Linked DNA regions of Nothobranchius furzeri. The protein of the gene in region 3 interacts with the protein of the main gene of each other region in a pairwise test. Links are inferred from orthologs where the notes say so. Each region holds a gene or a part of one and is shown on either strand. Other genes may lie near its edges.

The links.
Region 1: the proteins of fhl3a (region 3) and mrpl27 interact in binary tests that used the Homo sapiens proteins (3 or more experiments, as listed by UniProt). The two-hybrid records come from large-scale screens. The link is inferred for Nothobranchius furzeri from reciprocal best matches to the Homo sapiens genes FHL3 and MRPL27.
Region 2: the proteins of fhl3a (region 3) and patl1 interact in binary tests that used the Homo sapiens proteins (3 or more experiments, as listed by UniProt). The two-hybrid records come from large-scale screens. The link is inferred for Nothobranchius furzeri from reciprocal best matches to the Homo sapiens genes FHL3 and PATL1.

What each region holds. Positions count from the first base shown.
Region 1 is NC_091756.1:2,484,082-2,488,158, forward strand, and holds the start of mrpl27 (large ribosomal subunit protein bL27m), read right to left. Parts: upstream 2,868-4,077; 5' UTR 2,758-2,867; coding exon 2,721-2,757; intron 2,655-2,720; coding exon 2,544-2,654; intron 2,538-2,543; exon of another isoform or gene 1-2,537.
Region 2 is NC_091746.1:29,999,348-30,003,456, reverse strand, and holds the start of patl1 (protein PAT1 homolog 1), read right to left. Parts: upstream 2,831-4,109; 5' UTR 2,712-2,830; coding exon 2,697-2,711; intron 39-2,696; coding exon 1-38. UniProt on the Homo sapiens protein: RNA-binding protein involved in deadenylation-dependent decapping of mRNAs, leading to the degradation of mRNAs. Acts as a scaffold protein that connects deadenylation and decapping machinery.
Region 3 is NC_091745.1:70,520,180-70,524,521, reverse strand, and holds the start of fhl3a (four and a half LIM domains protein 3), read right to left. Parts: upstream 2,825-4,342; 5' UTR 2,683-2,824; intron 1-2,682. UniProt on the Homo sapiens protein: Recruited by SOX15 to FOXK1 promoters where it acts as a transcriptional coactivator of FOXK1.

The DNA.
Region 1 (4,077 bases), on a different chromosome or scaffold from region 3:
CATCCAGATGACCACACTGTGCGCCAGTAAAAAGCATTTTTCTTACACGTAACTTACTTTTGTTCAATAAAGTTCTGGGGAAAATATTAATTCAAAGATGTTGCCGCATGAACCACAAACGCTGCGAGTTGTGAAGCGTGTTCCTGCCACGAGCCGCATCACCAAGCGGAAAGTGAATGCGTCAAGCATAAACCAAGCTTAAAACGGCCTCTAGCCAACCAAAACTGTAGTTTGTTCCTTTAAAACAGGATTTCTACTTCAATGCTCATGTCACGTTAGTGCCCCCTACTGGTCGAACTGGGCATTTGTGTTCAGGTTTGCATGGTCGCTAAAGAAACTCAGAACTGTGATGAGGCTCCAAAATATACCCGTCCATCATCGAGTCCATCCTCACCTCCAGGGTCACGTACGTGGGGACCACTGCGAGGGACAAACAGGTGAAACGCAGGACCCTGCACCCTCCCACCCACGGCTCTGAGGCTGCATCGCTGCTGTTCCAACCACTCCCCGTGGGCAGGAGGTTCAGGTCAATCTGGGCAAGAACCTGAACACCTGCTAACCAGTTTCACCATCGGACCTGAACCAGTCACCCCATGTTTCTGTCCCAGTTCTAACGTTCTGCGTTTATTATGAATAATCTCTTATTTTAATTGACGTTCTCTGTGAAACTGCTTTTTTGGATGAGGGAATACTTAGAATGGACTAAGAGGGGAACTATCCCACCTGCCTTTAAGAGCAAGTCACCCCCTACCAGAGACTTAAAGAGCAAGTCACCCCCTGCCAGAGACTTAAAGACCAAGTCACCCCCTACCAGAGACTTAACTCCGCTTCCTGCTTGAAAAATGCAACGGATGCTGTTGCCTGGCAGACTGAGGGTGGAGCCGCTAACACACACACACACACACACACACGCACACACACAGGCTCTCAACAACATTATGACATCATATGGTACCAGCTGACGTCAGAGGGTGCTTCTTAGCAAATAGCGAAGGCAGATTTAGATTCAAATGCAGTGCAGAGTTTCTACCGGATTACGGTGCAACAGCAACAGTTTTTGGCTGAGTATTTAAACTTTAACCAAGATGCACTAAAGTGCCAAAATATTGACTACACGTGTCTACAGCACGACTAGACACTCATTTATATAATTTATCAGCAAAAACAGTTGACTTGGGGGGTGACTTGCTCTTTAAACTTTCAGTCATCACACACTGGTGACACTCATCTCCGTTTCTGAGCCATCCCTGCAGGGAGCTGCAGCTGTGGCTGGGCTTGGGAGCCATGGTGGTTTAGCGCCAGTCCAACCTCTTAAACTAGGCTGACCGTATGTCCTCTTTCCCCCGCACATGTCTAATCTTCATTCTCTGTCCGGGGCGTTCCTACTTTGATCAAAATGTCCGGTTTTTCATGCAGGAGCAGGGATCCAGTTATGGGGGCTAGATATCTTCCAGGGAAAGATCCAGTTTCTGCCTATATTACAATATTTATGGACTCTCAGTGCAGCGGGGTTCTGTTGAGTGGAGAAGACGCAGAGCGCTGATCGTTGGTGCGCCCGCTGCATCCGGCAAACTTTGCAAAGCAAGAGTTTGGTCTACTTCACTAGGCTAGAGGAGATGCAGGAAGATGAGAGACAGACAGGACAGGAAATAGTTCAATAAGAACAAGAAAGTAAAATGTAGGTAGATTTATCTGCACTACACATTTTTACCTGTATAAAACAATAAGTTATACACATGTAATATTTATACATCTGATACAATTCAGATCACCTTCACAACTCAGTCACACACCCAGGGCCGTTTCAAGGCATTTTGGGGGCCAAGGCAAAACGAAACACCCCCCACCCCCATAACTGGGCTCCCCAGAAGCCTCTGTGTAATTCATGCCCTCTCCAGTAGTGTTAGTTATACGGTGTTTATAAAAGCCCCTCAGACATTACTGACATGTTCTAATATTATCAGATGAAAAAGTAAATTATCAGACACGCTGTCTCATCTGCTGCTTTTCTAAACTTGTAAAAAGTAACAAAACCATTTGAAAGCCACTATTTGTGGATTCTCTGAAAGTTTCCATGGAGTGTGTGACAACTTATTTTTTCATTGATCCTATCGTCTAATCTCACAGCTGAAACAAGCATCCTTAATAATCTGTGCACAGGAAGCTTACCGATGCTGTAGTAAAACAAAAGGTATAATAATTTATTATTAATAAAACCTTGTTGCAGCACTAAAGCAGAAAAATGAGATTTTGCAGTAAATATGCTAAATATTTACACATGAATTGTTTTAGAGCCCTTTTATTGGCAGAATCTGATATTAATGTTAGTTCTTCACCTGGGGAAAAAAATGGTCCTAACGTGGTCTGTGTGGTTTTGTCATAGTGTGACGTCATAGGCACAGATCCCCTGTCCTCTATAGGAAATATGGCCACCCCGCTTCAAGCTGAGTGTCAGGGAGCCGTGGTACGACCCGACCCGGACATGACCCATCTCCAGTCCCAGGGCGGTCACGTGCATAGACCACTGAGAAGGTAAACATTACCATCCTGCTTCTTGAAGCCATATCTGCGTCCGGGGCTGTTCCCTCCGGTGTTCTTGGTGCTGCCTCCAGACTTCTTAGACGCGAACCTCACCGAGGCAAGCGGCAGCAGGGCTGAAAGCAACGAGACACGGTCAGGTCCAGCCGCGGCGGGAGCGTTACAGAGCTGGAAGCCATTACCTGTTCGGGACGGCAGCAAGGACCACAGCGACGCCATGTTTGGTAGTCACGCCTGTGCTTCTACGTCACATCCGGTTGTTCCTCACACCCTTACTTTTTCTTCACACACACACACACACACACACACACACACACACACACACACACACACACACACACACACACACACACACACTGTGGTTAAAAACCTCCCGAGGTCTTTTTTGTAACATGGTCGAAGTCACGTGATGACCGTGACGTGACGACAGAGCTCAGTGTTTCAATAAAGTGTTTCTCTAAACAAAATAAAAGAATTAACCGTTTCATGTACGAGTTCGTGGTGTGTTCAGTTATGATCATTCATTCATTCGTTCATTCATTCATAAGTACTTTATAGTAGGTGTGACAGCGGTCTGAGGTATGACAGGTGGTGCAGAACGGGCTAGGCGGAACTTTTGCATGTGTGTAAATAATATCTGGTAAGTTATTATTAATCACGACTTCCCATTTCAGGCCAGGAGTAGTTTTGCTGCTAGACCATAAGGAAATCATCAGTCAGCGACTAATTCTGAATTCCCTGGAATGAACCTGATGATGATTCACTACAAGAAAAGAAGGAATTTGCATTGTTTCTACAACCGATGGGTAAAAAGTATGTGTCATTAACCTCGCCATTACATCTTATGGATAAATGTTATCAAAAGTAACTCCTCTGGCTTTTGCGTATAATGGAAAAATTATGTAGCTGCGTTTGATTTGAAGTGTTTGTAACAGAAGGAAATTCTTCAGTCCTCTGAGGGAATCACAAGGTGGGTGCTGCTGATGCTAGAGAAGATGTAGCTTTGATCACAGCCTTAACATGAAACGTGACCCTTTGGAATTCTGTTTCCGGCGTCGGGAGGCATCTGGTATTCCTGACAGGACGGGAGCAGGTTACACGAGTTGGCAGTGGGAGAGAACCGTGCTGTCGGAAGAGCTGATTTAGCCTTTCTGCCAGCAGGGGGCGGCAGTGTACCTCTGCGCTGTGTGCTCTGCAGAAGAAGAAGGAGGATCCGGAAAACCGGGGGAATCAAACTGTGGACGGAACCGAGCCGCGCTGTACGAGCTGTCGTTGGGAGTCCGGAGCGGTCTGGTGAAGGGTCAGTGGTGCGGTCCCACACTCAGTTTAAAACACGTAGGTCCTTTTTAACCAGTGGGTTCGGTTCGAAACGGCACAGGTGTTGTGCCGAGATGTGTATGCTCTGTCAGCGCGTACATTAGAGCGATGACGTTTCTAACCTGCGTTTCTCTTGAAAAAAGTTATCCAAACATGTTAATGTTTAGCGACGATTTAATATTATTATTTAGCATGCTTCAGTTATCTTACTGTTGGCTTAAA
Region 2 (4,109 bases), on a different chromosome or scaffold from region 3:
TCATCTTCCTCCTCCAGCGTACAGTCGTCATCCAGGGACTGACCGGGCAAACAGGAAGAGCGGATGAGTTAGGAACCAGGAGGAATGCGAACTAAACATAAAAAAATGCTAAATCAACGAAAACACGCACATCTTCTCTGCACACGGGACCAAACACAATCACGAGTAGCTTCATTACTTTCAAAACTAATAATCCTGAAATGATTTCCAGTTTATTTGCCGAAATATTCAGAAAATCGATTCAGCTTGTTGTAATTTTACAGTTTTCATATCTTCTGGCTTGTCCCTTCAAGGGTCACAACAGCAAATCGTATGTCTCCATCCATCCATCCAATCTCTTCCCATTATAAGGGGTCGGGTCATGGGGGCAGCAGCTTAAGCAGGGAGGCCCAGACTTCCCTCTCCCCAGCCACGTGGACCAGATCCTCCGGGGGAAACCCAAAGTGTTCCCTGGCCAGTCGAAAAACGCAGTCCCTCCAGCGTGTCCTGGGTCTTCCTTTAGGTCTCCACATGGTTGGACGTGCCCAGAAAACCTTACCAAGGAGGCATCCAAGAGCCATCCTAACCAGGTGCTCAAGCCACCTCAACTGGCTCCTCTCTAGCTCTAAGGAAGAACCCGGCCACCCTGGAGAAAACTCATTTCGACCATGGAACGTAGATCGACCAAGAAATCCAGAACTTTGGCTTCTTGCTCTGCTCTTTTGGCCACGACAGACCGGTACAACGCCTACATCACTGCATCGCACCAATCCGCCTGTCGATCTCATGCTCCATCTTTTCCTCACTCATGAACGAGAATCCGAGATACTTGTTCAGTCCCAGACCAGGAGAAGACACACCCCTTTCCGACTCAAGGCCAAGCGGAGCGTGGGAGAACCAGCGCCATGTGACTCCTAATGTTAGGGGAAGCCGCGGCGCAGATGAAGTTGAAGCAGAACAAGAGTCAAGAAGATGGATAAAAAACAACAAGGTTTCCTAACAGGAATAAAACCGTGATGGAGGCTAGAGATCTGTATTTTCAGAAATTGTCTATAATCAATAACGTAGATCTCTACGACCTCAAAGGAACCAGGCAGAGCTCAGACGTTTCATTACTGCCGAAAACATATCACTGAAGTTAAAGGCTTAATTGTTGCATTTTAAAGGATGTACTTGCATTAATATGAATGATTAACATTACATTAGTGGTTATCTCGATAACGTCGACAATAATATCATTTATTGTCAATAACTTGTTGGACAATATTTCGTCCTGCAAAATTTGTTAGAGTCCCGATTCAGAAGACATGAAGACAAAATACCCGGATCCAAACCCGTACCCTTACAGAACACAGGTCCACATCCACTACAGAACCTGGGTTTTGGACCTGGTGCTGACACCAGTCTGGATGATCCTCTTCTTTGGTTCCAGTCCATATGGAGTCCAATTCCTCCAACAAAAACTTGGAAGACCGTTGTAATTCCCATTTTCCCAGTGAGTTTGGTCAATCCCAGATAGTCTAAAGAGGTCACCACCACCTCTGGACTGAGTCAAGATCAGGTTTCTGTTATGTTAAAAAGTAAAAGCTGGTTGCTCCATGGTGTAGAACTGGGGGGGGGCTTGGCCCTAGAGGGCCGCTATCCAGCAGGTTTTAGTTGTTTCTCTGCTTAAACACACCTGGTTTGAATCTGCTGTGATTAACAGGCTGCTGCAGAGCCTGGTGAGCTGCCGCACAGGTTTGTTGATTTTTGTAGATAATAAGGACCTAAATAGGAAAGGTTCAGAGTCTCAGACTGAACAGGAAACCACTTTAGATCTTCTCCATTCCCAGTGAGTCGTGGAGGATGGCTGCTTATACCGAGCCAGGATCCTCTGGAGGTTTCTTCCTGTTAAAAAGGAGTTTTCCTCTCCACTGTAGCTATATGCTTGTTAAGTATGAGGATTGCTGTATAGTCACAGACACTAGTCAGTGACTTGATGCGACCCGCTGGGTTCCTTATATAGGAAACTTTTTTCTGATTGGCTTAATGAACTGACCTGAATTGGAATGTTTATTATGTGAAGTGCCTTGAGACAACTCTTGTCGTGATTTGGCGCTTTATAAATAAACTTGAATTGAAAAGTTTACAAGTACCTGTTAAGACCACCTTTTTACCTAATTTTATCTCATCAGTCAAAGGGTCTAGAATAACCCAGTCCCAACTCTTGCTCTACATTTGCTAAGAGTCTAAATGCAGAACTAAAGATGACTGTAAATGAAGCTAGTGGGGGTTTCCTTTACTGATAATCTAAACTTAAATCACGGTGAAGCAGAAAAGCTGCACGCGACCCTCAGACATCCTGCAGACAGCCCGAGGACCAGTTAGCTTCGGTGCTAACCTGGACATTACATCACATAAAACACATCAGTAGAAAATCTGTCAAATAAAATCATGTCGGGTTAGTGACCGCAGTCTGGCCCTGTACAGCAACACGATACGAATCACACAGCCGGGTTATCTGGGCCGACAGAGGACGGGGAGGCTAGCCGTCCCTCCGGCTCACGTCACCAGGAAAGCGGGCTGCTTCACAGGCCGCAGACCGCATTGAAGTCTGGCAGCCGCATAAACAAAGGCCAGAAGCCTCACGCGGACCAGAACCACAAGAGAACATTCGATACACACAAACCTCCCGGTTCTGGTGGGGTCCAGGCTCACTTACACGGACCAATGCTCACCTGAAATCGAAACATCGATCCTCAGGTTGTCGGGAAAAGGAGAGCATCAGGAGCGAAGCTGCGCGCAAACGACGCAGCGGGGACGGGACGTCTTTCACTTAAGCGCGTGACAGCACAGTGAACGAGCACGTAACTGCGTGGCTGCTGGTGACGTTGAGGCTACGCTGGAAAAACAGGAAGAAGGACAGTAAACACAGAAAACGGAGAGACACGGTAAACAAATATGTTTTTATTGATATGAGCCTGGTTTTGTTTTCTGAATGTTTTTGTTTTCGACCCCTTTCATTATTTATGTTAACTAAATGCATTTAGCGAAACAGGCAGATTAATGAATTGCTGTCAAACATCAGGTGAGTCTGGGAAGCAGAATATTTTAAATCCTTGTTTTATAAATCATGCATAATAATGATATTTCAGCTTTTAGGTAAAAAGTATCACATGACCTCTTGAAAAAGTGTAATTATAAATGTGTTATATAACAAACACTTAAAGTGACAGTGTGTATTTTTCCTGGCGATAGGGGGCGGTAGATACCTAAATCGTTGCAAGCAGTTTTTTTGTGTTGGAGTAAGACCATGCCAACGGATATCCATTAGGGTCAAAAAGCCCTGGGGAGTGTAAACTTTTGCAAAATAAATGGTAAATGGTAAACGGCCTTTATTTGATATAGCACCTTCTAGAGTCCTGGAACCCCCCAAGGCACGTTACAACACAATCAGTCATTCACCCATTCACACACACATTCACACACTGGTGGGGATGAGCTACGATGTAGCCACAGCTGCCCTGGGGCGCACTGACAGAGGCGAGGCTGCCGAGCTCTGGCGCCACCGGTCCCTCCGACCACCACCAGCAGGCAACGTGGGTTAAGTGTCTTGCCCAAGGACACAACGACAGCGACAGACTGAGCGGGGCTCGAACCTGCAACCTTCCGATTACGGGGCGAGCACTTAACTCCTGTGCCACCGTCACCCTCAGACACTCTTTCATCACTGGCAACAAGTGAAGATGTACATGTGTAAAACAACATTTAAGAATGACAAAAGTTTTGTAACCGCTTGTTGCTAATCAGTAAATGAAATTTGTCCTCATGGGCTCCCGTAGAAGGACACATTGCATCAAATAAGCCGTCGCCCAGAGACTTAGACCCACTCCCATGTGTGGCCTGATTTATACTTCTCCGTCTGCATCAATGCGGAGACACGCAGCACCATTATAAGTCGGCGCAAGGGCTCTCCGACAGGCTCACAGAGGGTGACGGAGACAAGCCCAAAATTTTAAACATCCGTCGAAAGTGACGGAGACTGCAAGCCTGTGATTGGTCAGGACGCTGCTTCCTGTATATTTGTCATCAGCACCGCTGTAACTTCGTTAAAAAGTAACCAGATATTTAGCCAATATTTAGCAGCAGAC
Region 3 (4,342 bases):
AAATTCTGCTCCCAAACCACCTGCATACACTTGACTTCCTCCATCATTATCTCTGTTTCAAATGGTGCCAACGCATAAAACCAGTCCGAGCTGTTCAGCCGTCATCCCAGTGCAGTTTAGAACTGGCCGTGCTCCAACCATCGCGCTGGGCTAAGGGCTAACCTTTGGAAAACACTGAGACCTCCGAGGAATGTGAGCATGGTCAATGAAACGGAGAGGGAGGAAGACGGGAAAAAAGAAAACAAATACGTTGTACAGCCTGTGGGCTCTGTCAAGGCAAACTTCCCAGCTGCTAAATGGGATAGAATGACTAGAGTTTTGGCTGCTAGAGAATTATTTCTGCTTGTTACCAGGACAAAGAGTTTGTGTAAAAATAACCTGTCAGTGGGGAGAGCACAGCAGGATTCCTCCAAGCCCTCCAGGCTATAAATTCTGCAGCTACAGACAGAAAAGAGCAGAGCTGGAGTGGCTTTGGCTGTTGTGTTAGTGAGGACGGGCTGAGCTCAGGTTCAAATACACGTTATGCAAAGAGCAGGTTCACTGAAAAACCTTTTTTTACTTCTTATTTTTAAAAATGATCGGTCACTCTGAGTTTAACACACAGACTGAATGTTGAAAACAGTCTCCTACACTTATGTCCTGCATTTGCTTCTGATAGAAACTACTCGAAAAAAAATGCTTGGTTCAGAAAAGCCTGACAGATCCACGTCAAACTGTCATTTAACATTCATGGACTCGCCTATCTTGGCTCGCAATGGGGAAGGCTGTTGTTAGTTTAGCATCTAGCAAACAGCAGAGTAGAAGCTAACGTTAGCATTAGCAACTCCACCACACAGCAGAACTCCTTCAGGCTTGTATTATTTGTGGGGATAAAAAAATCAGCTTTGGCAGAGCCGCGTTGCTGTCATCCAAATCCCAATAGAGATGTCCAAATCTTAGGAAATAAGACTCCCAATCCTATCGTCTGAAGCGTCTTTCTCCTCCGGCTGACTTCTACGTCCTCAAACAGGCACGCCAGAGCTTTTCCCTCCAGAGAATGACTTACAAGGTGTTCCTTCCTACTAGAGACCCCTGCACATGTATTAAAGTATCAGTAAAGAATTCAACCAACCACAGCTCATGTACGATGCAGCAGGGTTTATGATTACTCTTGAAATGTAAATAAATGAACGTTTTAACAATATATCATGTTTTAACCGTACTGATTTATCAATATGAGACCGCAATAACACAAAAGATTCCAACTAATTGGAAACAAACTGCAATCATATGCTCCCCTGAATGCCCACAGCCATGGACGGTGTTCCAACATGTGGCTTTATGCTGTGGATATCACTGACTGTTACAATAAAAAAAATTGCGGTTGCATGTTTTCCTGAAATCATATAGCTCTGCTTCATTCGATGCATGATCTCTGAAGTCGGTTTAGCATTTTCCTCCTAATCGCACAGTTTTGCTCTCATTTTCTGTGCTTTCAGCCGCCGTGAATGAAATTTTCACACTAAATCTCTCAATAATTTGGTGTGCAATCTTCTGAGGAAGAGCCAAATCCAATCAGACACAAACTGGTGCACAAGTGGAGAATGCTAACCTGGAAAAGGTGAAACAAATCAATAAGGAAAGGGATTGTAGTTGGAGGGCTTTAGCATAGTTTCAGTGTGTCGCTTCTGGTTTGATGCAACAAGAAGTTCATGATGCAAACATTCAACGTGATCCTTTGCTTTGATATCCAGAAATCAGTCAAATAAGTGAAACGTTCCCTTAATAATCGCCCGTTTCACATTTCACGCCTCTAATGTCTCTGACTGTCCTTCCAACTAAAGCCAAGACAACACAACGAAGGACTGTGTGAGGACTTGCAGTTTCTCCATCCCACATCTTTATCCATCCTTCTTATTAACAAGTCTGAACACTTTGCCCTTCCTCCAGCTCCCACATGAAGCAACACGTGTGCCTAGCAGACGTTACGATGATGACAGCTCACTATGTAATGCGACGTATTGATGTTCAGCCAAAACGACTCCAGACGCTGCAGCACAGACACACCCAAGCAGACGCACACTGCTCTATCCCACTTCCTCCTGCCACTGAGATGACACGTTTAGGCTTTCTGAAGGCTCACACACCAATGTTGTGCTCTTAATCCTGCTTAAATACAGGTAAGTGGCTCACATAAGCCAGCAGAGCCCGTTTTCCCACCAAGATGATGTTATTTATATGGTTTTTGGCTCACTGGTTAATTTATTTCTGTATAAGAGACAAGCGTTAAGCAGAGCGACAAAAATAGGTGTGATAATGCAGACATCTGTTGTAATTTTCTGGGACATTTTACTGAAAGGCTAAACCTTTATCCACCACCTGTTTATTCACTTTTACTGATGAAATCATAAAGAAACAGAAAAGTATGTTAAATTTTGGACTCTACTCACCCTTTGCCCTGATACACCACATGCCATCCTTTTATAAAACAATATCCAGTGGCTTATAATCCCAACATTTCTTTAATGCTCAGACTTCATTGATTCTTTCTGAACCTTTATTTTCTGTTAAAGCTTCACTTGGTATTTTAAATGGGCCTGAAACTTTGTACACGCCAATGAATTTGTTCAAATATCAGTTTTAAAGTAGTTTATCTGGGAAAAAAAGTAGAAAAATCCATGAGGGATGTAAATTTATTCTTACCAGGAGAGAGGAAGCACCTTCCCAGCACTCTTTTCTGTCTGCTGAGTCCAGCTCTGATCAGATCTAGGATCAGTCAGGTCCTCCAACAGCGTCTCTGTAAAACTTTCTAAGTTCTGACTGAAGTCAGACCTCTGATGGATGCAGTTTGCCGGCTACTTTTGTCCTACTACTGAGGAAGTTGCTGGTGAGTCACAAGATCCCGCCTCCCCTCTAAAAAACAGACCTCCTCCCCCCTCCCTCCCTCCCTTTCTCTCTTTTAGAGACTTCAAATGAGAGCAGGGAGAAACCCAGACAGGAGGCTGGATTCAAAGCATTTGTCTCAACAAGAGTCAGTTTTTAAATAGTTGAAGAGTTTTAAAGACGTTTTTGTTTACATTAAATTAATAAGTAATGTTGTTAGTGAAAATGGTCGACAACCTCAACCCAGCTGGCCAGGATCAGTAATATTTAATTGAGGCTAACGAACACAGTACATGTTTAATTATGACACTCTGCTCATTATGGATCAACTTTTAAAAAATGGTCCTGAAATTTTAGAAGAAATCAAAATGATCTATAGGTAGCCAAAGCCATGGGTCTCCTGAAAAAAAAAAAAAGAAATGAATGAAGTCAAAAAGTTATTTTCTGGGTCCATTTATCCTCTCGCCCTAAATCACACGCATCGTACATACTTAAAGAGCAAGTCACCCCCAAATCACCCTAAATAAATGAGTGTCTAATCGTGCTGCAGACACGTGTAGTCAATAGATTAACACTTTAGTGCATTTTAGTTAAAATTTTAATTTTCTGCCTAAAACTGTCAGTGTTGTGCTGTTGTCAGGTAAACTCTCTGCACTGCATTTGAATTTAAATCTGCCATCGCTATTGGCTAAGGGGTATCCTAGAACATTAGCTGGTACCATTTGATGTCACAATGTAGTTGTGAGCCTGTGTGTGTGTGTGTGTGTGTGTGTGTGTGTGTGTGTGTGTGTGTGTGTGTGTGTGTGTAGGTGTGTGTGTGTGTGTGTGTGTGTGCGTGCGTGTGTGCGTGTGTTTTAGTGGCTCCGCCCTCTTGGTGTGCTAGGCCACAAAATTTGTTGCATTTTTCAAACAGGAAGTGGGAGTGAAGTAAGAATCTGGTAATGATGTGTGTTTTGACTATGTCATGTAATTTGAGATTTATTAGTTTGTAAATATCCATAATTAAAAAAAACTACAAATCAGAAGTCACATTTATGATGTCACCACAGAATCTCCTCTCCCCTAGCGTAGCTGCTGCTTACATCATCGCAAGATTTATGGTGGTTTTCTACACGTTTAATGTTCCTTCTTTCATCCTGGAAGAAGGATTGGAAGCTCGTTAAACTCACAGCCATTTTTCTTCTCCATGCCTGGTTTGATGACATTTGGTGAGACGAGGAGTTGTAGTCCAGCATGTGTTCACACAACACCTAAAAAAAACCCTAAAATAACTTTTGCCACCTGTTGACAATAAGCTCTTTCTTGGCATCAAAATAGGTCTTTAAAGTTCACAGACATGACACGTTATATCATATCTAACAGGATTAGAAAATTAATTTTATCGGCTCAAAGATTCCCATTCTTTTTATTTTTTTGGCAGTAGGAAACCCAATGATTCAGACGTAGATGGGTGTGACTTAGTCACCCCGTTGTGTTTTTA